Linked DNA regions of Stegostoma tigrinum. The protein of the gene in region 1 interacts with the protein of each later gene in a pairwise test. Links are inferred from orthologs where the notes say so. Each region holds a gene or a part of one and is shown on either strand. Other genes may lie near its edges.

Region 1 (11,667 bases):
CTCCTGCATTGCCACAATGATGCCACCCGAAGGTTGCAGGAACAGCAACTCATATTCCGCTTGGGAACCCTGCAGCCCAATGGCATCAATGTGGACTTCACAAGCTTCAAAATCTTCCCTTCCCCCACTGCATCCCAAAACCAGCCCAGCCTGTCTCCGCTTCCCTAACCTGTTCTTCCTCTCACCCATCCCTTCCTCCCACCTCAAGCCACACCCCCATTTCCTACCTACCACCTCATCCCGCCTCCTTGACCAGTCCGTCCTCCCCGGACTGACATATCCCCTCCCTACCTCCCCACCTATACTCTCCTCTCCACCTATTTTCTCCTCTATCCATCTTCGGTCCGCCTCCCCCCTCTCCCAATTTATTTCAGAACCCTCTCCCCATACCCCTTTTCTGATGTAGGGTCTAGGCCTGAAATGTCAGCTTTTGTGCTCCTGAAATGCCAATGGAGGGGTGTGGTGTTCTGGGAGGTGGGGGTTATTAAGGGTCCATGTGATCGCTAATATGAGCATACCTGCCCCAGATGGACTGCAGTAGTTCAAAGAGGCTCACCACCACCTCCCTGAGGGCAACTAGGGATGGATAACATGTGCTGGCCTTTTGCCAGCACCACTCACATACCATGAAAAAAATAACCATCACCTCCAAGGCTATGACCAGCTAGAATTGACAACTTCAATTATACAGAACATGCAATGTCGCCGTGGGGCTCACTGGTCAACCGTCCAACATTAAAAACTTCCTCTTCAACTTCCTTCTTTTAAAAATATTTACTATTCTATAATAATTGGGCAGTGGAGAAAGTAGTTTATTGTGGACAAATCCCTAGTAGAGTGTTTAATCATGGGGAAGATGATGATCGGGTCATTTTGTAATCCAGAGACTGTGGAAATGCACTGTGGACAGGGGTCTGAATCCGACCTCAGCAGTTGGTAGAATTTGAGTGTTAGACAGGGCGAAGTGATTCCACAACCAACGGATCAGATCTAAGCTCTGCAGTCCTGTCACATCCAGTTGTGAATGATGGTGGACAATTAAACAACTCACTGGAGGAGGAGGTTCCACAAATATCCCCATCCCTAATGACGGAAGAGCCCAGCACATCAGTGCAAAAGATAAGGCTGAAGTATTTGCAGCAATCTTCAGCCAGAAGTGCCGAGTGGATGATCCATCTCATTCTCTTCCAGAGATCCCCAGCATGATAGATGCCAGTCTTCATCCATTTTAATTCACTCCACGTGATATCAAGAGATGGCTTGAGGCACTGAAAACTGCAAAAGCTATGAGCCCTGATAACATTCCATCCATAGTTGAGAGGATGTGAGCTGCAGAACATGCCACATCCCTAGCCAGGATGTTCCAGCAATAACATTGGTATCTGTCCAACAATATGAAAGATTTCCCAGGTACATCCTGTACGCACAAAGAACCTGGCCAATTACTGCCCCATTGGTCTATTCTCAATGGAAGGTGTCAGTAACAGTGATATCAAGCAGCACCTGCTCAGCAATAACCTGCTCAGTGATGCCCAGTTTGGGTTCCACCAGGGCCACTCAGCTCCTGACCTCATTCCAGCCTTTGTTCAAACATGGACAAAAGAACAGAATTCCAGAGGTGAGGAGAGAAGAACAGATCTTGACGTCAAGGCCACATTTGACCGAGTATGGTATTGAAGAGTCCTAACAAAACTGGAGTCTATGGGAAATCTCTGCGATGGTTGGAGTCAGACCTGACAGATGGGAAAATGGTCGTGGTTGTTGGGGTCAGTCATCTCAGCTCTAGGACATCTCTGCAGGAGTTCCTCAGGGTGGTGTCCTAGGCCCAACCATCTTCTGCTGCTTCTTCAATGACTCTCCCTCCACCATAAGGTCAGAAATAGGGATGTTTGCTGATGATTACACAATATTATCAGGGCCTTACTGGGAATGTGGAGTTGAAGTTACAGTCCATTCAGTAATGCTTTTCTTGAATGTTGAAATCAGATTGACAGACTGAATGGCTACTCCTGTATGTTTATATTCCTGTGGGATCTGTCGCACCTGCTTCAATCCACCAAGATGAAATAGCCTTTCTCACATCCAAAATGTTTTAAATAATAAAAAAAAACTCCTGAAAAACAAATTCAAATACACCAAACAATTCATTTAATGGACGCACAATTTCTCTTTGAGCTTTTGCAGCAGGAGCTTTAAGTGACACCACGACAATATTTGTACATGTTGAAACAATAACAACTTATATTTACATTGACCCTCGACATAATAAAACACCACAAGTTTCTGCACAGGGAGGTTGTAAAGCAAGGGTAGACGCTGACCACATATTTCAGCAATATTCCATCAGGCAGCCTACAGCTTAATCAAAGATTGAGGTGAAAATGAGATCGACGCAAAGAATAGGTGAGCTTCAGGGAGGGAATCCCAGAGTCTGGACTTGGAAGCTGAAACAATAGCCTCCAATTGCGCAGCACTGGATATCCTCAAGGTCAAAATGGGATAGCGCAGAGATCTGGAAGGTTGTATGAGGTGACAGAGATAGGGAGGGGGTGTAGGGGCTGGAGGGGGTGACAGAGATAGGGATGGGGTGTAGGGGCTGGAGGGGGTGACAGAGATAAGGACGGGGTGGGGGCTGGAGGAGGTGACAGAGACAGGGAGGGGTGTAGGGGCTGGGGGAGGACAGAGATAGGGAGGGGATGTAGGGGCTGGAGGTGGTGACAGAGATAGGGAGTGGCTGGGGGCTGGAGGAGGTGACAGAGATAAGGAGGGGTGTAGGGGCTGGAGGAGGTGTAGGGGCTGGAGGGGGTGATAGAGATATGGAGGGGGTGTAGGGGCTGGAGGGGGTGATAGAGATAGGGAGGGGGTGTAGGGGCTGGAGGGGGTGATAGAGATAGGGAGGAGGTGTAGGGGATGGAGGGGGTGACAGAGATAGGGAGGGGGTGTAGGGGGCTGGAGGTGGTGATAGAGATAGGGAGGGGGTGTAGGGGGCTGGAGGGGGTGACAGAGATAGAGAGGGGGTGTAGTGGCTGGAGAAGGTGACAGAGATAAGGAGGGAGTGCAAGGGCTGGCGGAGGTTACAGAGATAGGGAGGGGGTGTAGGGGTTGGAGGAGGTGACAGAGATAAGGAGAGGGTGTAGAGGCTGGAGGAGGTGACAGAGATAAGGAGGGGGTTGGGGCTGGAGGAGGTGACAGAGACAGGGAGGAGTGTAGGGGCTGGGGGAGGACAGAGATAGGGAGGGGATGTAGGGGCTGGAGGTGGTGACAGAGATAGGGAGTGGCTGGGGGCTGGAGGAGGTGACAGAGATAAGGAGGGGTGTAGGGGCTGGAGGAGGTGACAGAGATAGGGAGGGGGTGTAGGGGCTGGAGGAGGTGACAGAGGCAGAGAGGGGCACAGGGGCTGGAGGAGGTGACAGAGATAGAGAGGGGGTGTATGGGCTGGAGGAGGTGACAGAGTTAGGGAGAGGGTGTAGAAGCTGGAGGGGGTGACAGATAGGGAGGGGGTGACAGATAGGGAGGGGGTGTAGGGGCTGGAGGAGGTGACAGCGATAGGGAGGGGGTGTAGGGGCTGGAGGAGGTGACAGAGATAAGGAGAGGGTGTAGAGGCTGGAGGAGGTGACAGAGATAAGGAGGGGGTGGGGGCTGGAGGAGGTGACAGAGACAGAGAGGGGCACAGGGGCTGGAGGAGGTGACAGAGATAGAGAGGGGGTGTATGGGCTGGAGGAGGTGACAGAGTTAGGGAGAGGGTGTAGAAGCTGGAGGGGGTGACAGATAGGGAGGGGGTGACAGATAGGGAGGGGGTGACAGATAGGGAGGGGGTGTAGGGGCTGGAGGAGGTGACAGCGATAGGGAGGGGGTGTAGGGGCTGGAGGAGGTGACAGAGATAAGGAGAGGGTGTAGAGGCTGGAGGAGGTGACAGAGATAGAGAGGGGGTGTAGGGGCTGGAGGAGGTGACAGAGATAGGGAGAGGGTGTAGAAGCTGGAGGGGGTGACAGATAGGGAGGGGGTGACAGATAGGGAGGGGGTGACAGGGAGGGGGTGGAGGGGGTGGAGGGGGTGACAGAGATGGGGTGGAGGGGGTGACGGGGGTGGAGGAGGTGACAGAGATAGGGAGGGGGTGTAGGGGCTGGAGGAGGTGACAGAGATAGGGAGGGGGTGTACAGGCTGGAGGAGGTTACAGAGATAGGGAGGGGTGTAGGCGCTGGAGGAGGGGGCAGAGATGAGGAGGGGGCAGAGATGGGGAGGGGGCAGAAGGGGGTGTAGGGGCGGGAGGGGGTGTAAGAGAGAGAGGCAGAGTTGGGGAGGGGGTGTAGGGGCGGGAGGGGGTGTAAGAGAGAGAGGCAGAGTTGGGGAGGGGGTGTAGGGGCTGGAGGAGGTGTAAGAGAGAGAGGCAGAGATGTAGGGACGGGAAGGGGTGACAGATTGGGAGGGGGTGTAAGGACTGGAGGGGTGACAGAGATCAGGAGGGGGTGTCGGGGCTGAAGGAGGGGAGAGAGTTAGGGAGGGGGTGCAGGGGCTGGAGGACGTGACAGAGATAGGGAGGGGGTGACAGAAACAGTGTGGGGTTGTCAGGGCTGGAGGGGGGTGACAGAGACAGGGAGGGAGTGTAAGGGCTGGGGGGGGGCGCAGAGACAGGGAGGGGGTGTAAGGGCTGGGGGGGGGCGCAGAGACTGGGAGGGGGTGTAAGGGCTGGAAGCGGGTGACAGGGATAGAATCGAGACGACGGTGGGGTTTGAAAACCGGGATGAGAATTTTCAGAAAGCAGAAACCTCCTGACGCCGTAAATCGGAAACACAAAACAGAAATTGCTGGAAAAGCTCGGCAGGTCTGTGCAGAGAAACAGGGTTAACGTTTCGGGTGCTGTGACCCTTCCTCAGAACTGAGTGTAGCCGGGGAAAGGTGCTGAAGATGGGATGGAGACAGGGGTGTATAGGAGTAAATGGATAAGTAGAGATGGAGCCCAGAGAGTTGGTTGAAGGAGTGGGTAATGGTCAGCCTGGGAGAAAGGACAGCTGCTGATGAGGGTCCGTGTAGGCGTGACTCGCTTCCTTTTCCTTCTCTGTTACACTTCCTCATCAGCTGCATTCCTCACTACAGGTCCCAGGGTGCAGCAGAACGCAATCAGAGGAGGTGGGGTGGGAGGAGCAGCTTGAAAGTTCCTGTTAATTTGTTCTGTTTGGAGAGTCAGCGAGGGTTTGTGTGAGGAGCGTACTGCTTGGTTGTGGAGGTCTCGGGCAGAGAGAGATAGAGAGAAAGGGGGACTGACTGATGGGACAGAGCTCTCCCTGAAGGAGATGGACAGTTCCCTGAATGTGCAGCTATCCAGAGACTGGGCCGAGGAGCAGGAGGATGGACTGTCCGAACTCGAGTGAGTCTGGAGCTTCCTTCTGCATTACAAATCTGTGTGTTTCTTATATTACTGTTGTCTGTTGGAGGCGGAGGATACGTTCTATGTTGTAATTAAGTGTATTTTTTCTCCTTGAAAATTTCTGCTGGTGTGTCAGTTTCAGGATGTTCTGGTCAACTTTTTGAGAAATCGGGAAAGTTTCTCTTTCTTCTGTAAAGTAACGATGAATTCATCTGTAATAGACAGCTGTAATCAGCTTTCCTGTTCAGTTTGCTATCCATTAACCTTTGGGACACCCCTCTGTGTGGCATCATGCTCTGTACAGGGGACTCTCCACCGATTAGAATTCCCGAAGAGTGAACTACTGTCATTTCTGTCAATCTACCAACGTGTCACTTTCAGGCCTGCGATGCTGTGTTTAAAGCGCAAGATCTCTCATCGTTCCCAAAATAAATCACGGGCACCCCGCCCCCGTCCCCTTCCCGAGTCGGGGTGCCCCAATGACTGAATAATTCAAATTGCCGATGGTTTATTGTCAATTTCATTAAGGGAAAAACAAACTCTCGGGGATTAGACATAACCTGTGGATGAAAGCCAAACGCTGCAGATGCTGGAAATCTGGAAGAAGGGCAGAGAATGCTGGAGAAACTCCGCAGGTCTGCGTGAAGAGGGAAACAGCGTTGATGACTCCTCTTCAGTGAATTTCTGTTTTGAGATGAATTAATTGCTTCCTCCTTAGTAACAGCGACACCTCAGTGATAGGCGCCAAGCATCCATTGCTGCAGGGGCTCTCTGTTCTATTTTCTGATCTACCTGTTTAGAGATACTGTGACACATTTTTGGAGCAGGTAGGACTTGAACCTGGGTCTCCTGGCTCAGGAAAAAAAAACTCAGCAGGTCCGGCAGCATCTGTGAAGAAAAATCAAGAGTTAACCCAGTTTTCAGGAAGGGTCCCTGGTCCAGAAACGTTAACTCTGATTTTTTTCCTCACAGATGCTGCCAGCCCTGCCGAGTTTTTCCAGCAATTTCTGTTTTTGTTCCTGATTCACAGCACCCGCAGTACTTTTGGTTTCTCCTGGCTCAGAGGTAGGGGCACTACCACTGCATTAGAAGAACGCTGTAAAGTTTTGATGATGGATTCCAGTTCTTGTTCTATATTGTACAGATAATTATCTCCAATTCTCCTTCAAAATGTTCATTTTATTTTGCCATTGAAAACAGCGCAGATGTTAAACTGCTGAAATGCTGGACCCTCTGTGATTCCTCTGTAACTGGGAAAACACACTCATTCAATTGTATCAGTTGAGAGTGTCACCTCTTGAGTTAATTCAAAATCCTGTCCCAAAATAATTTGTTTTGAGGTAATATTTGTTAAAACTGCACATATGTGTATCTGGTTGATTCCAAATTATTAAGTGGAATGTACAGCAGAGTAACAGGCCATTTGGCCCAACATATTGGTGTTTATGCTTCAGACAAGTCTGCTCTCACTCTTTGATAACAAGGCATAGTGCTGGATGAACACAGCAGGCCAAGTAGCATCAGAGGAGCAGGAAGGCTGATGTTTCAGGCCTAGACCCTTCTTCAGAAATGCTGCTTGGCCTGCTGTATTCATCCAGCTCCACAGTTTGTTATCTCAGATTCTCCAGCATTTGCAGTTCGTACTATCTCTGCTCTCACTCTTTGTTGTTTCGCTCATCCTGTATCTTCTTCTTCTGTTCCTTTCTCCCTTGTGTGTTTATCCAGCTTCCTCTTAAATAATAACTGCGCTGTTTACCTCAACCACCACACGTGGTATCAAGTTCCACATTCTCCCCAGTCTCTGGGGGCAAAGAAGTTTTGCCTGAATTCCTGATTGTCATTGATAAATCTAATCTAACATCAATAGTCCCTTGTTCTGGTGTCACCCACGTGAGACTTGGTCTCTAACTTTACCCTATCAAACCTATTAATAATCTCAGTCAGAAACACACCCCTCATAGGAAAGGCAGTCAGCCCTGTATACTCCCTCCCATGGAAGGAGAACCTCTCCATTCTGGTATCATTCTAGTCAAACTTTCTTTCTCCACTGTGTCTACCTCTTGTTTGTTTTATGATTACAAGGATTAGTTACCAACCCTCCAGTTGTTTGAAACTGAAAACAGGAACTACTCGAAACAATCAGCCGGTTTGTCAATCTGAAGAGAGAGCGCATGAGGCGAGAAAGTAGGCTGGGCCCTTTCCCAGAATGGAAAATGAGGGGCAAACAATGGTTTTGGTTTCAGCTAGAATTGTTAAAGAAAAGATAAGGTGACAGCAAGTCACTCAACAAAAGTAACACAGGAGGAATGAGTGGAACGATGATGAGAAAGCAGTGTTTGTAAAAAGAACCTCTGTGTAGGTACTGACTGACACAATGAAGGGAAATTGACAGAAATCTTATCAAACAGCATTTTAGTAATATATCAGATTCTTAAGGAGCTGGACAGGGTTAATGCTGAGATGACGTTTCACGTCATGGGAGAGTCTAGGACCAGAGGGCACAGTCTCAGAATAAAGGGGCACCAATTTAAGACTGAGATGAAGAGGAATTTCTTTTCTCAGAGGGTTGTGAGTCTTTGGAACTCCTTGCCACAGACAGCAGTGGGGGCAGAGTCGTTGTGTCTATTTAAGGCTGAGATCAATAGATTCTTGATCAGCTACAGGGAAAGGGCAGGAAAATAGGTGTGAGGAATGTTGGATCAGTCACGATCCAATTAATGGTACAGCAGGCTCAAGGGACCAAATGGCCAAATCCTGTTCCTACTTCTTATGGTCTTACAGTGTATTCAGACTTGTTTGGGTCGGACATCAACAATATTTATTAACAAACTGGTGATCTAGCAGCAGACATTTCTGCCTAGAATTGCTCTTGTTCCAAACTTCTGGTAGAGTCTCAATCAAATCACAGATGACAGTCACATCACAGGATACCCACATGTTTAATGTACTTATTCATTAAACCAATTTCACTTATCAGGACATGAAATTAAACATGTTAATGAACAGAGATTGGTGGAAACACTCAGCAGGTCAGTCACCATTTGTGGCGAAGGGAACAGTTGACATTCCAAGTTGTCGATTTCCAGCATCCACAATCTTCTGAAGTTCAAGATTTAGGATGAAAATGTGGTCACCAAAATTCTCCAGGCATGTGCTGGGAAGTCTTGTATCCCTGATGGATTGGCTTTGATCCAATGTAGGTACAGTTTGAACCCATAGTGAAGTGAGACAGGTTCTCATTGTGCTACACAGATCAGATTAACTCCTGGTTTGTAATGAAGTTGGTGTGAAGCTGCGGCTGGAGCATAGTCACAGCCTTGGAAAGGGTGATGTGGCTCAATAGGTAGCACTGTCGCTTCCGATTCGGAATGGGATTTCAAGTCCGACTCCAAAAAAATCCAAGCACAGTAACAATGTTGACATCTCCCACTGCAGTGTTCGGGGGGTGCTGCACTGTCAACAGTGCCAGCTTGCCGATGATATGATGAACCAAGTCCTTGTTTGCCCCCTACAATGGGCACAGAAGGTCCAAGAAGAGCAGGGTAATTCTCCTGGTAACCAGTTTTACCCCGCAGCCAATAACTAAAATATGCCGTTATCTTGGTCACTGTTCTATTATCGGCCTGGGAGCTCGTTTTGCACAAATTGTGAGCTGTGTTGCCTGCATTATAACAGGGATGTCTTCAAAGGTACGTAATTTCCTTTTAAAGTGCCTGTGGATGTCTGAGCTTGAGTGATGCTAGTCATTTTTAAAATCAGAAAACAGTGTTCCACATCCCTGAAAGTATCCAGGAAGGAATTGAATATTCCTGCAAATAAAAGCTAAATACTGTGGAAGCTGGTAAACACAGTGTTGGAGAAACTCAGCAGGTCTGGCAATGTTAGAAACAGAGTTAACATTTTGAGTCTGGTATGACTCTCCTTCAGTAATTTTTGAGCCGTACCAATCTGTCTCTCCCTTCACACACACTGCCAGACTGCCGGGTTTCTCCGAAATTTCTGATCTTGTTTGTTTTGAGAAGTCCCAGAGCGCTCTGAGTGGCATAAATCCCAAAGTCCCATGTTATTTAGGTTTTTTGATAAGTGAGTGAATTTGGTTGATGACATCAGGACAACTTACATATGCATAGAACTGTTAAACAGAAAAATCTGAAGAACTTCACAGAGGCTTAAGGAAGAAATGGAAGTGATAAAATAAAAATAATAAAAGCAAAATACTATGCATGTTCGAAATCGGAAAGAACACGGAGAATCCTGGAGAAACTCTGCAGGTCTGGCAGCATCTGTGGAGAGAGAAACAGAGTTAATATTTCGAGTCCAGTAGTTAAGTTTTGAAGGAGAGCCACAGGACTTGAATCATTAGCTCTGTTTCCTTCTCCACAGATGTTGCCAGACATGCTGAGTTTCTCCAGTACTTTTGGTTTTTGGAAAATACCTACGTATGATGAATATCCAGAGGTTTTTATAAGAAGTAGAAGTTGGGAAATACCTGAAAGAAAGATCTTGCTCTTAAGTGATACCTTTCACAACTTCAGAAAATCCCCAAAGATAATGGGAGCTGCAGATGAGATGCTGCCTGGCCTGCTGTGTTCATCCAGCTCCACACTTTGTTATTTCAGAAAATCCCCAAACTGTTTTAGACAGTTGGGTGCTTTTGAAGCATGCTAACAGCCAATTTACACATAATAAACACTGATGAGTAATAAAGGCAGAAAAAACCAAACCAACTGCTTTGCATTATTTAGTTCATTCACAGAAATAGCAGTGCTGGCCTAATCTGCGCCTAGCATGGGGAGCTCAGAAAATTAACAGTTGGGAAGATCCAAGTAAGATTAATTCAAACAGAAAAAATTATAAGAATTGACCTGATTGAGATCTTTACGATTCCACAAAGGGTCATTAGGCTAGTTACAGAGAAGATATTTTCACTTGGTGGGAAGCTCAAAATTAAGGGTCGTCATTTAAGATAGTGACTAATAAATCCAATAGGAACATCAGGAGATATGTCTTTACACAGAAAGTAGAACTCACAGCACTTGAATCATCAAAGTCTACAGTTGCACTTGAGTCAAACCTAGATGAACACAAGGGAGGAAGGAACAGAAGGCTATATTGACAGGATGAGATGAGCTGGGATAAAGAGTGAATAATACAGAACATAGAGGCCAGCACAGATGAGTTGGGCCGAGTGACCTATTCTGTGCAATAGGTTGCACAATATTCACATAACCAAAGTTTGATTACATCCTTTGATGCTAGGGAACATTGTTTGTTTTGAGGTGTTGAATGTTAAAGAAACACAAGTCTGATTAGTGTACACTCTGGAAGGGACCCTCACAAAATTGGATAGCCAGAGGGCACATGTTGTACTGAAGAAAATTTGAGCTGGCAATTTAGATAGAATTTGGAATCACAAGCCTCCTGCTGTGCAGAATCCTGCAGCCCATAATATCTGAGCTGTCCCCTATATAAGCCATTTAAACAATATATTTGAACAGAAAGGTGACTGATGTAGGACAGTCTAGGTGTTTGAACAGGATATATGTGGTTGAGGGAAGTTTTAAGAAAGAAATTTACAAATTTCTGCAACAGACAGCATTTGGAGTTATAAATGACATTGTACAATGTGGATGAGCTAAGAAGCAGATTTCAGTTAGCAAATAGAATGATTTAGGATTTATAGCAGAGAAACAGGCCATTCAGCCAAATTATTTATACTCTGCTCAACCCTCCTCCAATCATATTTCATCTCTCCCTATCAGCATACCCATCTATTTCTTTCTCCTACATGAGTTTATTCGGCTTCTCCATTAGACTTATAAATATTATTCCCCTCAATAATGCTGTTGTAACAATTTCATGTTCTCACCATTTTCCAGCTGTGTTCCAAACTCCCTGTTGTATTTATTAGTGACTATTGCATATTTATGGCCCCTGGTTTTAGACTCTCCATCAGTCAACATGCGGGAACTTCCTGTGAGTGATCTTTAAAAACTAGGACTGCAGCCATCTGTGGAGAAAGCTCGCTCACCATTGTCTCCAAGGCAATTAGGGATGGGCAATAAACATTGGCCCGACCAGAGATGCCCATGTCCAAAGAACAAATCAGACCCTCCTCATTTTTAATTACTTCCAGCAGTTTTCCTCAGATGCAATTTATTAGAGAAACCGAGGTTGTTTAGTCTTTACTCAGAGTTGCTCCTGTTTGTTCTGGTATCATACTTGCAAATCTGTATCATCAATCAGCTGAGAGCAACAGAGGAAAAAGAATGGCTTTAATGTCAGTATCGTAGTCCTAATCC
Region 2 (11,667 bases), on another chromosome or scaffold:
TCCTCCATTGGTGGTTTTCTGCCAAGTAGATTTTTTAAAAAGTGTGTTTTACATTGATAGTAGGAAGAGAAGCATATTTGTGCTGGACTTTTCCAGCTAGCTGTAGGTTCACTTCAGACACCACTCACTGTATTTGAGATAAGAGTGTTCCAAAAATGGGATCCAAAATGATTTATTACAATCTTTAATGCAGCTACTTTGCCTTACAAAATTTCTTCTTTTTAATCTAGTAAACCACATGAAGAATGAATTGAACATCTGGCAGGAGAGGAATAATGTAAATCCAAGCTGACCATTCTTTTACTTAGAAAAGAAGGATACTTCATAAACTCCGACTCATGAAGAATTCAGATGGAAATCTTGTTTGGTGAACAAGATTGCATGACCTCCGGCACATGCCATAGACTTTCGTGAACAGACATTTAATGGCACAGGATTCACAAGGAACATTTCATACCTAAGCATTAAGTCTGTATTGCTGCTATATGAATGCAGTTTTATTCCCCGTTTTTGTGATCTCACCTGGCCAACTGAAGAGAGTTTGTCATTTCTACTGGTTCTGAAATTCTACCAGATTTATATTTTGTTACTTCAATAGTTTGCATACATTTCAGTGTCTGGCGGTACAAAAAATGTTTTTTTTCTCAGATGCCAAAAACATTTATGCCTAAAGCGTAACTGTTAACTCTTCTATTTTGCTGAATTTCCAAGAAGCAGTCTTTTAATCAGCCTCTGGATAAAATTGCCTACTTTGTACTTACATTGAATTGCAATGTTTGCACATTGACTACATTAACAGTTACGCTAGAATCCCTAGTTTTGCTTACCTGTCAGTTGAAACAGAAAAATGTTTACAGAAATGTGTGTACTTCATCTCAATATCTATTTTAAAAGAAAATGACAAAAGGTCTATTTTAATGAAGTCTTTTGGGGTGGTCTTAAAAGTCGCTGTAAATATCTTTAAAATTGTGAAGGAGTTTGCTTGAGAAATGCTTCCTATAACTTAATGTCCACTTAATGAAGTATTGTACAGAATTATTTGACAAAACTATCTTCCAAATTGTATAGTATAAACACATGAATGGCCTGCTAAAATTTATGCTGCATATTATGTATGTAGGTGGTATAGGACTTGTGTTTTGCTGCCATTCTGAAGTAGAATCACGTTTTTAAAAAATCATTCAGATTATTTAAATGTTACACATTATTGAGCCTTTACGTTTATTTAAATTATGTCTTGCTGTAACTTCTCTATAATGAGACAATATATGAAAAGGGGAAATGTTTGGCATCCCCCAGTGGACATTGTTCAGCACTACAGCATCCTGAATTTTGGTTTTGTTGATCAGTTCTGAATCAAATAGAAAGCACTTGGAAAGAAATGACCAGCAAAGAATTAATAAAAGCAAGTTGAACATAATTCTAGAAAATTATTGGCTGACTTTCAACCTGTGGCGTACACCTTATTGATATGTCAATTTGGCACTTACCTTTCGCCCACTTTTTAAAAATTGATTTTCAGGGGATGCTGGCTTCACTGGCAGGGTCAGCATTTTTTGCCCACCTCTATCACCTTCTCAAGGATAACTGAAGAGCTGCTATCCTAAACTGCTGCAGAACATTTTGATGTAGGTAGACCCACAACGTTTTTAGGGAGGGAATTCTGGAATTGTGACCCAGCAACACTTCAGAAGTGGCAATTTGTATCAGAATAGTATGCAGATTGGAAAGAGAACTCTCAGGTGGTGGTGTTTCCATGTATCTGGGGTGACCTTTCTTTTGGAAGGTGCTGTTTAAGGAACCTCACTGCTACTGAGCATTGGTGATGGAGAGAATGAGTGCTTGTTTTATTCTGGGTGATACTGAGCTTCTTTGGTGTTGATATTGGAACTGCACTCATCCAGGTAAGTGAAGAGTATTCCATCAGACTTCTGACATGTGCCTGCAGATGTCAGTAAGAAGTGAGTAACTTGCTGCAGATTCCTAGCCTCTGAGTGTTCATGTAACTTATTTATTTGGCTAGTCCAGTTCACTGTGGAGTCATGATGTCTGAGAGCCGATACCGTACTCAGTGCCAAGAAGAATCCAGTACACTGGAGTTTAGAGGCTTGTTAGATGACTGCCCTCTGACCTTTGCTCATGTAAAATAAGGCTTGACAAAATAAGGTCAAAAAAGATCCTATTCGGTCATTACTGCCCAATTGCTTTTTTCTTATTGTTGCTCAATTAGTTTGATTCTCACTTTTTATAATCACGGCTGTTTTTGAGCCAGTTGAATAGGTTACTGTAGCAGCTCTACACTGCTACAGATTCTTTGACTGAGGAAGGGTCATCGGACCCGAAATGTTAACTCTGATTATTTTCTTCACAGATGTTGCCAGACCTGAGCTTTTCTAGTAACTTCCACTTCTGTTCATAATTTCCAATGCCTCCATTTCCTTGTTTTAACCAGCAGTCTGGAGGCGTCTATAGTTCTGTAAATGGGGTCTAATTCAGTTTGTACAATAGTCAAACAAAGCTTCTCTGGTTTTTGATTATATTTCTCCAGAAATGAAATCAAATGCCTTGTTTTTGTATTATAAGTGTATTATTTATCCTTGTTATCCTGTTACTACAATGTCCTGTAGAGTGCTTCAGAAGCCCATTATGTATCAACCACAGTGATATAGAACTGAAGTCACCTATAGACCAGGCAGATTTCCATCCCAGTAAACAGGTTGCCCTTATGCCAATGAGTTTCACCTTCACTGCTACTGGTATTGGCCTACTGTTTTCAAATTTCTTTAAATTGTATTTCAGACTTTTGAGTGTGATGATGGGGTCTGAATCCATGTTCTTTGGGTTACAGAGCTGGGCTTCTGGATTACTAGTTCAGCAACAGTTCTGGGCATCCCTGCAGAATTTCCTTTCAATGTGTGCTTTTGTTAAAACAAGATATTGCATAATATCTCAGAAATAAGGGGAACAGCATGTGTGCTGAATTCCTGGTACTGAACTGTACTCAACAGAACATCCCCACCCTATAACAACCTGGGTGGACTGCAGATCTTCAGGACTTGAATTTAATATTTGTTATCACACTCCTCCAGATGCAGGGTTAACCACCCTAAACTTAATTATCCTGGTCACAAGCTTGATTGCTTACTTGTTTCATCACTTGATAGGCCATCTCAAAGAAGCAGATTGATCATGTCTTTGTTTTAAACACAATCTCTATATCCTTCTTTAGGAAATATGACAAGTGCAGTACTCGCTCAACTGACTTTCAGGGATACTTAGTGTCATAATTTATAAGAGTGACTGAGGAAAACTCTGAATTGGTTTGCAATTCATGCAAATTTATACGACACTCAACCAGTATCACTGAAATGTTCATGATAAGTAATAGACAACAAATTCAAATGTTTAATTTAAAGAGTTCAGATTACTTTCTGAAAGCATCCATTGTCTACATTTTAAATCAAAATTTCACTAATTCATTATAAACCTTATATCTGTCGCCTATCTTCAACTAAATCATCCTCCTTTAATCCTTCCTAAAGTGTAATGAGTGATCTGGTACTGACGTTCAATTATTTACATGCTTCAAATAACAACGTGGTAACTGGGTTCTGAGGTTATAGGTCAGTTCTAACGTCAAGCGAGCTATCTAGAGGATACAAAAATGCTTGCTCTGTTTAGGATCTGCCTTATATTATTTTCTGTTTTTAAAAAAAAATCTTGAGGGCACGATTTGAAGAAAAGTCTTCTTTGTGTCCTCAGACAGCATTACAAGAAGTCGATCTAGTCACTGTCTTTTGCCGACGCTTCTTGTGTTTGTTACGTTCCCATCACAGCCAACTAAGTAGGAATGGGTCATTCATCCTTTCAAGACTGATCTAGCTGTGATCTTAACCTCCTTATCCTGTCAATCAAGAATCTATTCAACACTCTCTTGAAATAGTCAGTAATCCACCCTCTACTGGAATTTCCTTTTCGAGGAGAACAAAGACTTACAACCTTCTAAAAGTAGAAAAGAAATCATTGTAAAAACAAAACTTTATTCTGGAAAGGACAGACGTTATTTCTCGTTTCCCACAGAATGGGTGGGAGAGAGACAGCATAATCCTCCCAGTATCCACCCTTCCGATCTGCTCAAGATTAATGACCTTGGACATCGCGAGAGATTTTGGGATGTCCAGATGTTGTGGAAGGTGCCACATAAATGCAATCTGTCGGTACGAAATAAAAACCCGAAAGAATTGCGGATGGCGTTTGTCAGACCCAAAAATAAAAGCTTTTTCCAGCAGCTTCTGTTTTTGTCGGTACATAATCATGAATTAGTTTCTTAAAAGCAGAATTCTGGGGGAACGAGAAACACTCGGATTTTCTCTACCTTCCTAGCCTGGTAAAATTTCTGAAATCAGTCCACCTACCCAACCTGACCGGCTCCACACTTCCAGGTTTGGACCTCGAATTTCTTTGGGGGCGGACCATGTCCACCCAAGCCCCGCCCCCTGTGTTGGTGATGCAACCACGTCCCTATTCAATTCCCGCCCATTCAGTTTACGGTGGCGTAGGCCCGCCTCCATTGTGTCATATCGCCCTGCGTGCACGCACAATCCTTGCTACTGGCTCCTCACAAAAGGGACTGTGAGTCGAGGGCCGATGTGATCGTTGGTCTTCACACGCCACCCCCGGTGGCAAATGGCGGGTTTTCTAAACCGGGGCTTACGCCCCTCAATCCTCAGGTTTACAAGGCACCTTACAGCAACGACAGTCCCCGAAATTCATCACGTAACCATCCCCTCACTCAACACTTTATCCGCGGTGAGTAACAGCAGTGAAGGTCCTTAATTGGATGTATGCGTGTAGCACATTACTGACATTTATTTAAAGTCAGTTTGAGGCCGGGACCTCCGCGCGCCCCCACCCCCCCGCAAGTTCTCGCGCTGTGTTGCTATTGGTCTTTCCGGAGATCATGTGGTCTCCATCCTCGGAGGCTAGTCCATGCGACCTCAATTAAGGTTCCGCCCCTCTCCTCCCTGAGCGAAGCCGATTGGTTACTGCTCACATAGCGGCTCTCGCGGTGGAACGGCTTGACGACCTGAGGCCCGGCGTCATGGGCTGGAATCTGTGGCGATGAGTTCGTGTCAAATTCTGTTGTGTAACATAATACGGCGAGAGGCTGTTCGGCCCGTTGTGCTTGGACCAGCTGTTTACTAAGGCAACATTCAAATCACATTTTCTGAAGAAGGGTCTAGGCCTGAAACGTCAGTTTTCCTGCGCCTCTGACGCTGCTTGGCCTGCTGGGTTCATCCAGCTCTACACCTTGTTGTCTCACATAGCCCTCCCTGTACCTTCCATTGTACCTGCAGATAGAGATTCTGAAAACGTATGCTGGTGCATTCCAGATCCGAAACACTCGCCGCATGAAAAACGTCCTGCGGTACTTTTTGTCGATTAGCTTTAATCTCTATCTTCTGATTCTGGATCCTTACACCAACAGGAGCCTTTTTGCCCCTATCCACTTTCATCAAGCTCTTCGAGGTTTTGAGACTCCTCTGGCAGGTCTCCTCGTGGCCGCCTCTTGATTGATGAAAATTGTTCTCGTGGCTACACATTGTCCTGCATCATAAGTCCACCGAAACAAGTACAGTCATAATGCACGGAAACAGACCCTTCGAACCAACTCGTCCGTGCCCACCAGATAGCTGGTATAAATCCAGTCTCGTTTATCAGCATTTAGCCAATATCCCTGTAAATCCTTCCTATTCATGTACTCATCCAGATGGCTTTTAAATGTTGTAGTTGTACTAGCCTTCACCATTTCCTCCAGCACCTCATTCCGTGCAGGCATCACCCTCTGTGTGAATAAGTTGCCCCTTAGGTCCCTTTTAAATCTTTCCACTCTAACCTTAAACCTATGCCCAATGGTTTTGGCTATCCCATCCCGGGAAAATGACATTGTTTATTTTCCCTATCCATCCCCCTCATGATTTCATAAATCTCTGTGAGGTCACCCCTCAATAGTGAAAGCAAAAAAAGAACCCATTACATGGGCCAAATGGCTAATCCATGTGCTGTATGACTCTTTTAAAAATAAGTTAGGATTCCGTATCATTTGTTTTTAAGCAGCCTATGTAGGTGTTAATGAAAAATTCTGTAATGCCAATGTGGTGTATAAATGTTTTACAGCCAATGCAGCACTTTGCTGAGGGTCGTGGAAACAGATGCACAGAGCAAATTCTCATGAGCAGCCATGAGATAGATGATCAAATAATTGTTTTAGTGATGTTTATTGAAGGATGAATATTGACCATAATGCTGATGATAACTTTCATGTCCTTCAATAGACTGACCATGATCTTTCACCTAAGATGCAGACAAGTCACAGTTTAATATAATAAAATGTGAGGCTGGATGAACACAGCAGGCCAAGCAGCATCTCAGGAGCACAAAAGCTGATGTTTCGGGCCAAGACCCTTCATCAGAGAGGTGGATGGGGTGAGGGTTCTGGAATAAATAGGGAGGGAGGGGGAGGCGGACCAAAGCTGGAGAGAAAAGAAGATAGGTGGAGAGCGTATAGGTAGGGAGGGGATAGGTCAGTCCGGGGAAGACGGACAGGTCAAGGAGGTGGGATGAGGTTAGTACGTAGATGGGGGTGTGGCTTGGGGTGGGAGGAAGGGATGGGTGAGAGGAAGAACAGGTTAGGGAGGCAGAGACAGGTTGGGCTGGTTTTGGGATGCAGTGGGTGGGGGGAAAGAGCTGGGCTGGTTGTGTGGTGCAGTGGGGGGAGGGGACGAACTGGGCTGGTTTAGGGATGCGGTGGGGGAAGTGGAGATTTTGAAACTGGTGAAGTCCACATTGATACCATTAGGCTGCAGGGTTCCCAGGCGGAATATGAGTTGCTGTTCCTGCAACCTTCGGGTGGCATCATTGTGGCACTGCAGGAGGCCCATGATGGACATGTCATCTAAAGAATGGGAGGGGGAGTGGAAATGGTTTGTGACTGGGAGGTGCAGTTGTTTGCTGCGAACTGAGCGGAGGTGTTCTGCAAAGCGGTCCCCAAGCCTCCGCTTGGTTTCCCAAATGTAGAGGAAGCCACACCGGGTACAGTGGATGCAGTATACCACATTGGCAGATGTGCAGGTGAACCTCTGCTTAATGTGGAATGTCATCTTGGGGCCTGGGATAGGGGTGAGGGAGGAGGTGTGGGGGCAAGTGTAGCATTTCCTGCGGTTGTAGGGGAAGGTGCCGGGTGTGGTGGGGTTGGAGGGCAGTGTGGGCGAACAAGGGAGTCACGGAAAGAGTGGTCTCTCCGGAAAACAGACAGGGGTGGGGATGGAAAAATGTCTTGGGTGGTGGGGTCGGATTGTAGATGGCGGAAGTGTCGGAGGATGATGCATTGTATCCGGAGGTTGATGGGGTGGTGTGTGAGAACGAGGGGGATCCTCTTTGGGCGGTTGTGGCGGGGGTGGGGTGTGAGGGATGTGTTGCGGGAAATACGGGAGACACGGTCAAGGGCGTTCTCGATCACTGTGGGGGGAAAGTTGCGGTCCTTGAAGAACTTGGACATCTGGGATGTGCGGGAGTGGAATGTCTTATCGTGGGAGCAGATGCGGTGGAGGCGGAGGAATTGGGAATAGGGGATGGAATTTTTGCAGGAGGGTGGGTGGGAGGAGGTGTATTCTAGGTAGCTGTGGGAGTCGGTGGGCTTGAAATGGACATCAGTCACAAGCTGGTTGCCTGAGATGGAGACTGAGAGGTCCAGGAAGGTGAGGGATGTGCTGGAGATGGCCCAGGTGAACTGAAGGTTGGGGTGGAAGGTGTTGGTGAAGTGGATGAACTGTTGGAGCTCCTCTGGGGAGCAAGAGGCGGCGCCGATACAGTCATCAATGTACCGGAGGAAGAGGTGGGGTTTGGGGCCTGTGTAGGTGCGGAAGAGGGACTGTTCCACGTAATCTACAAAGAGGCAGGCATAGCTGGGGCCCATGCGGGTGCCCATGGCCACCCCCTTAGTCTGTAGGAAGTGGGAGGAGTCAAAAGAGAAGTTGTTGAGGGTGAGGACGAGTTCAGTACACCACCCATGCCCTCCACCTCCTCCAGGACTTCCAATTCCCTGGACCCCAACACCTCATCTTCACCATGGACGTCCAGTCCCTATACACCTGCATTCCGCATGCAGATGGCCTCAAGGCCCTCCGCTTCTTCCTGTCCCGCTGGCCCGACCAGTTCCCCTCCACCGACACCCTCATCCCGCCTAGCCGAACCCGTCCTCACCCTCAACAACTCTTTTGACTCCTCCCACTTCCTACAGACTAAGGGGGTGGCCATGGGCACCCGCATGGGCCCCAGCTATGCCTGCCTCTTTGTAGGTTACTTGGAACAGTCAGTCTTCCGCACCTACACAGGCCCCAAACCCCACCTCTTCCTCCGGTACATTGATGACTGTATCGGCGCCGCCTCTTGCTCCCCACAGGAGCTCCAACGGTTCATCCACTTCACCAACAATTTCCATCCAAACCTTCAGTTCACCTGGGCCATCTCCAGCACATCCCTCACCTTCCTGGACCTCTCAGTCTCCATCTCAGGCAACCAGCTTGTAACTGATGTCCATTTCAAGCCCACCGACTCCCACAGCTACCTAGAATACACCTCCTCCCACCCACCCTCCTGCAAAAATTTCATCCCCTATTCCCAATTCCTCCGCCTCCGCCACATCTGCTCCCAAGATAAGACATTCCACTCCCGCACATCCCAGATGTCCAAGTTCTTCAAGGACCGCAACTTTCCCCCCACAGTGATCGAGAACGCCCTTGACCGCGTCTCCCATATTTCCCGCAACGCATCCCTCACACCCCGCCCCCGCCACAGCCGCCCAAAGAGGATCCCCCTCGTTCTCACACACCACCCCACCAACCTCCGGATACAATGCATCATCCTCCGACACTTCCGCCATCTACAATCCGACCCCACCACCCAAGACATTTTTCCATCCCCACCCCTGTCTGCTTTCCGGAGAGACCACTCACTCCGTGACTCCCTTGTTCGCTCCACACTGCCCTCCAACCCCACCACACCCGGCACCTTCCCCTACAACCGCAGGAAATGCTACACTTGCCCCCACACCTCCTCCCTCACCCCTATCCCAGGCCCCAAGATGACATTCCACATTAAGCAGAGGTTCACCTGCACATCTGCCAATGTGGTATACTGCATCCACTGTACCCAGCGTGGCTTCCTCTACATTTGGGAAACCAAGCGGAGGCTTGGGGACCGCTTTGCAGAACACCTCCGCTCAGTTCTCAACAAACAACTGCACCTCCCAGTCGCAAACCATTTCCACTCCCCCTCCCATTCTTTAGATGACATGTCCATCATGGGCCTCCTGCAGTGCCACAATGATGCCACCCGAAGGTTGCAGGAACAGCAACTCATATTCCGCCTGGGAGCTCTGCAGCCTAGTGGTATCAATGTGGACTTCACCAGTTTCAAAATCTCCCCTTCCCCCGCCGCATCCCTAAACCAGCCCAGTTCGTCCCCTCCCCCCACTGCACCACACAACCAGCCCAGCTCTTCCCCCCCCCCACCCACTGCATCCCAAAACCAGTCCAACCTGTCTCTGCCTCCCTAACCGGTTCTTCCTCTCACCCATCCCTTCCTCCCACCCCAAGCCGCACCTTCATCTCCTACCTACTAACCTCATCCCACCTCCTTGACCTGTCCGTCTTCCCTGGACTGACCAATCCCCTCCCTACCTCTCCACCTATACTCTCTCCACCTATCTTCTTTTCTCTCCATCTTAGGTCAGCCTTACCTTCTCTCTCTATTTATTCCAGAACCCTCACCCCATCCCCCTCTCTGATGAAGGGTCTAGGCCCGAAACATCAGCTTTTGTGCTCCTGAGATGCTGCTTGGCCTGCTGTGTTCATCCAGCCTCAAATTTTATTATCTTGGATTCTCCAGCATCTGCAGTTCCCATTATCTCTGACACTGTTTAATATCTTGGTCGAAGGATAGCACCTTTTTTATTCACTTTTGGTTTGTGGCTGCAGCTGGCAATACAGCATTTGTCAACCACCTTAATTTCTCTTGCGATCAACCACTTGAAATACCCTGATCCATTTAATGTTGAAACATCCAGAATGTTGTTAAGCAGTGAGTTCCAGGATTTTGACCCAGAGATGGAGAACGTATGGCAATATTGTTCCAAGTGAAGATGGTGTATGACTTTGAGAGGAACTTGCAGGCAATGGCATTCTATGCATCTATTACACTTATGTTTCAAGATGATACATGTTACAGGATTGAAAGGTCCTGTGAAAAGGAAGCTTGGAAAGTTACTGAAGTGTATTTTGTGTATTTTCTGCAGCCATTGTAAGCTGGCAATGGAGAGAGTTAAATGTTGGAGTTGATGGATACCGTATCACTCAAGCTGCTTTGTCCTGGTTGATGAGATAATGGGAACTGCAGATGCTGGAGAATTCCAAGATAATAAAATGTGAGGCTGGATGAACACAGCAGGCCAAGCAGCATCTCAGGAGCACAAAAGCTGACGTTTCGGGCCTAGACCCTCTCTGATGAAGGGTCTAGGCCCGAAACGTCAGCTTTTGTGCTCCTGAGATGCTGCTTGGCCTGCTGTGTTCATCCAGCCTCACATTTTATTATCTTGTCCTGGTTGATGCCAGGTTTCCGTGTATCATTGGAGCTGCATGGATGGAGTTACCTTAGAATTCTCAGCCTCTGACCCGCTCTTGTCACCACAGTACCTATATGGCTAGCTCACTGTAGCTTCTGGCCAATAGTAACACCCAGATGTTGCTAATGGAAGGCTCAGCGATTATGAGGTTATTTAATGTCTATGGAAGATGATGAGATTCTCTCCTGTTGGAGACAGCCATTGTCTGACATTTGTGTTGTGTGAATATTACATCCCACTTATCAGCCAAAACCCCACTGTTGTCCAGGTCTTGCTGGACTCTTCCAGGATTTGAAAAATTGCTAGTGGCTACGGACACTTTGCAGCAATCATCAGCAACCTTGCCATCTCTGAATGAAGGCATTTGATGAAGCAGCTTAAGACAGTTGGGCCGAGGCATTATACTAAAGAATCCTTGCACAGATGTTCTGGTGTAAGTATGATTGAACTCTAAGAACCACATGATCTTCTATTGTGCTAAAATGTTTCCACCAGTGCATGGTTTCCAATGATTCCTTTCAACTCTGTTTTTAATCAGGCTTCTTTATTCCACACTCAGTCGCACTTGACATTGAGGGTAGTCACTATCACCACATCTTCACTGCAGCATGAGAAATGTAATTCTGAATTATCTGTTCAAATTCCTGGAATGCATCTTGATTCAGTAACCTTCTGATTTCAAAGAGGGACTGCAATGGCTGAATCAGAGCTAATACCTCTACTCTGCACAAACCTCACACTGCCAGTGCAGTACTGGTCAAGTACTGCATTGCCAGAAATGTAACCTTCCAGATGAGATGTTAAACCTTGAGGCCATGAGTTCCTGCTCGCTTTTTTAAATGCCTTTATTGACTGCAAAATGACTAAAGCTTAACTGCCAGTAAAGTGCTTTTGAAGTAGTGTAGAAGTGCTGACATAATGAAGGAATCACAGCAATCAATTTAGTCACAATTTTTTTTTAAACAAATGTAGAAATTTCTGAAGAA

What was found.
Region 2: the proteins of dapp1 (region 1) and fxn interact in binary tests that used the Homo sapiens proteins (3 or more experiments, as listed by UniProt). The link is inferred for Stegostoma tigrinum from reciprocal best matches to the Homo sapiens genes DAPP1 and FXN.

The regions. Positions count from the first base shown.
Region 1 is NC_081354.1:4,224,326-4,235,992, reverse strand, and holds the start of dapp1 (dual adapter for phosphotyrosine and 3-phosphotyrosine and 3-phosphoinositide), read left to right. Parts: upstream 1-5,125; 5' UTR 5,126-5,291; coding exon 5,292-5,365; intron 5,366-11,667. UniProt on the Homo sapiens protein: May act as a B-cell-associated adapter that regulates B-cell antigen receptor (BCR)-signaling downstream of PI3K.
Region 2 is NC_081356.1:27,896,020-27,907,686, forward strand, and holds the start of fxn (frataxin, mitochondrial), read left to right. Parts: upstream 1-4,572; 5' UTR 4,573-4,686; coding exon 4,687-4,809; intron 4,810-10,942; exon of another isoform or gene 10,943-11,048; coding exon of another isoform or gene 11,049-11,114; intron 11,115-11,667.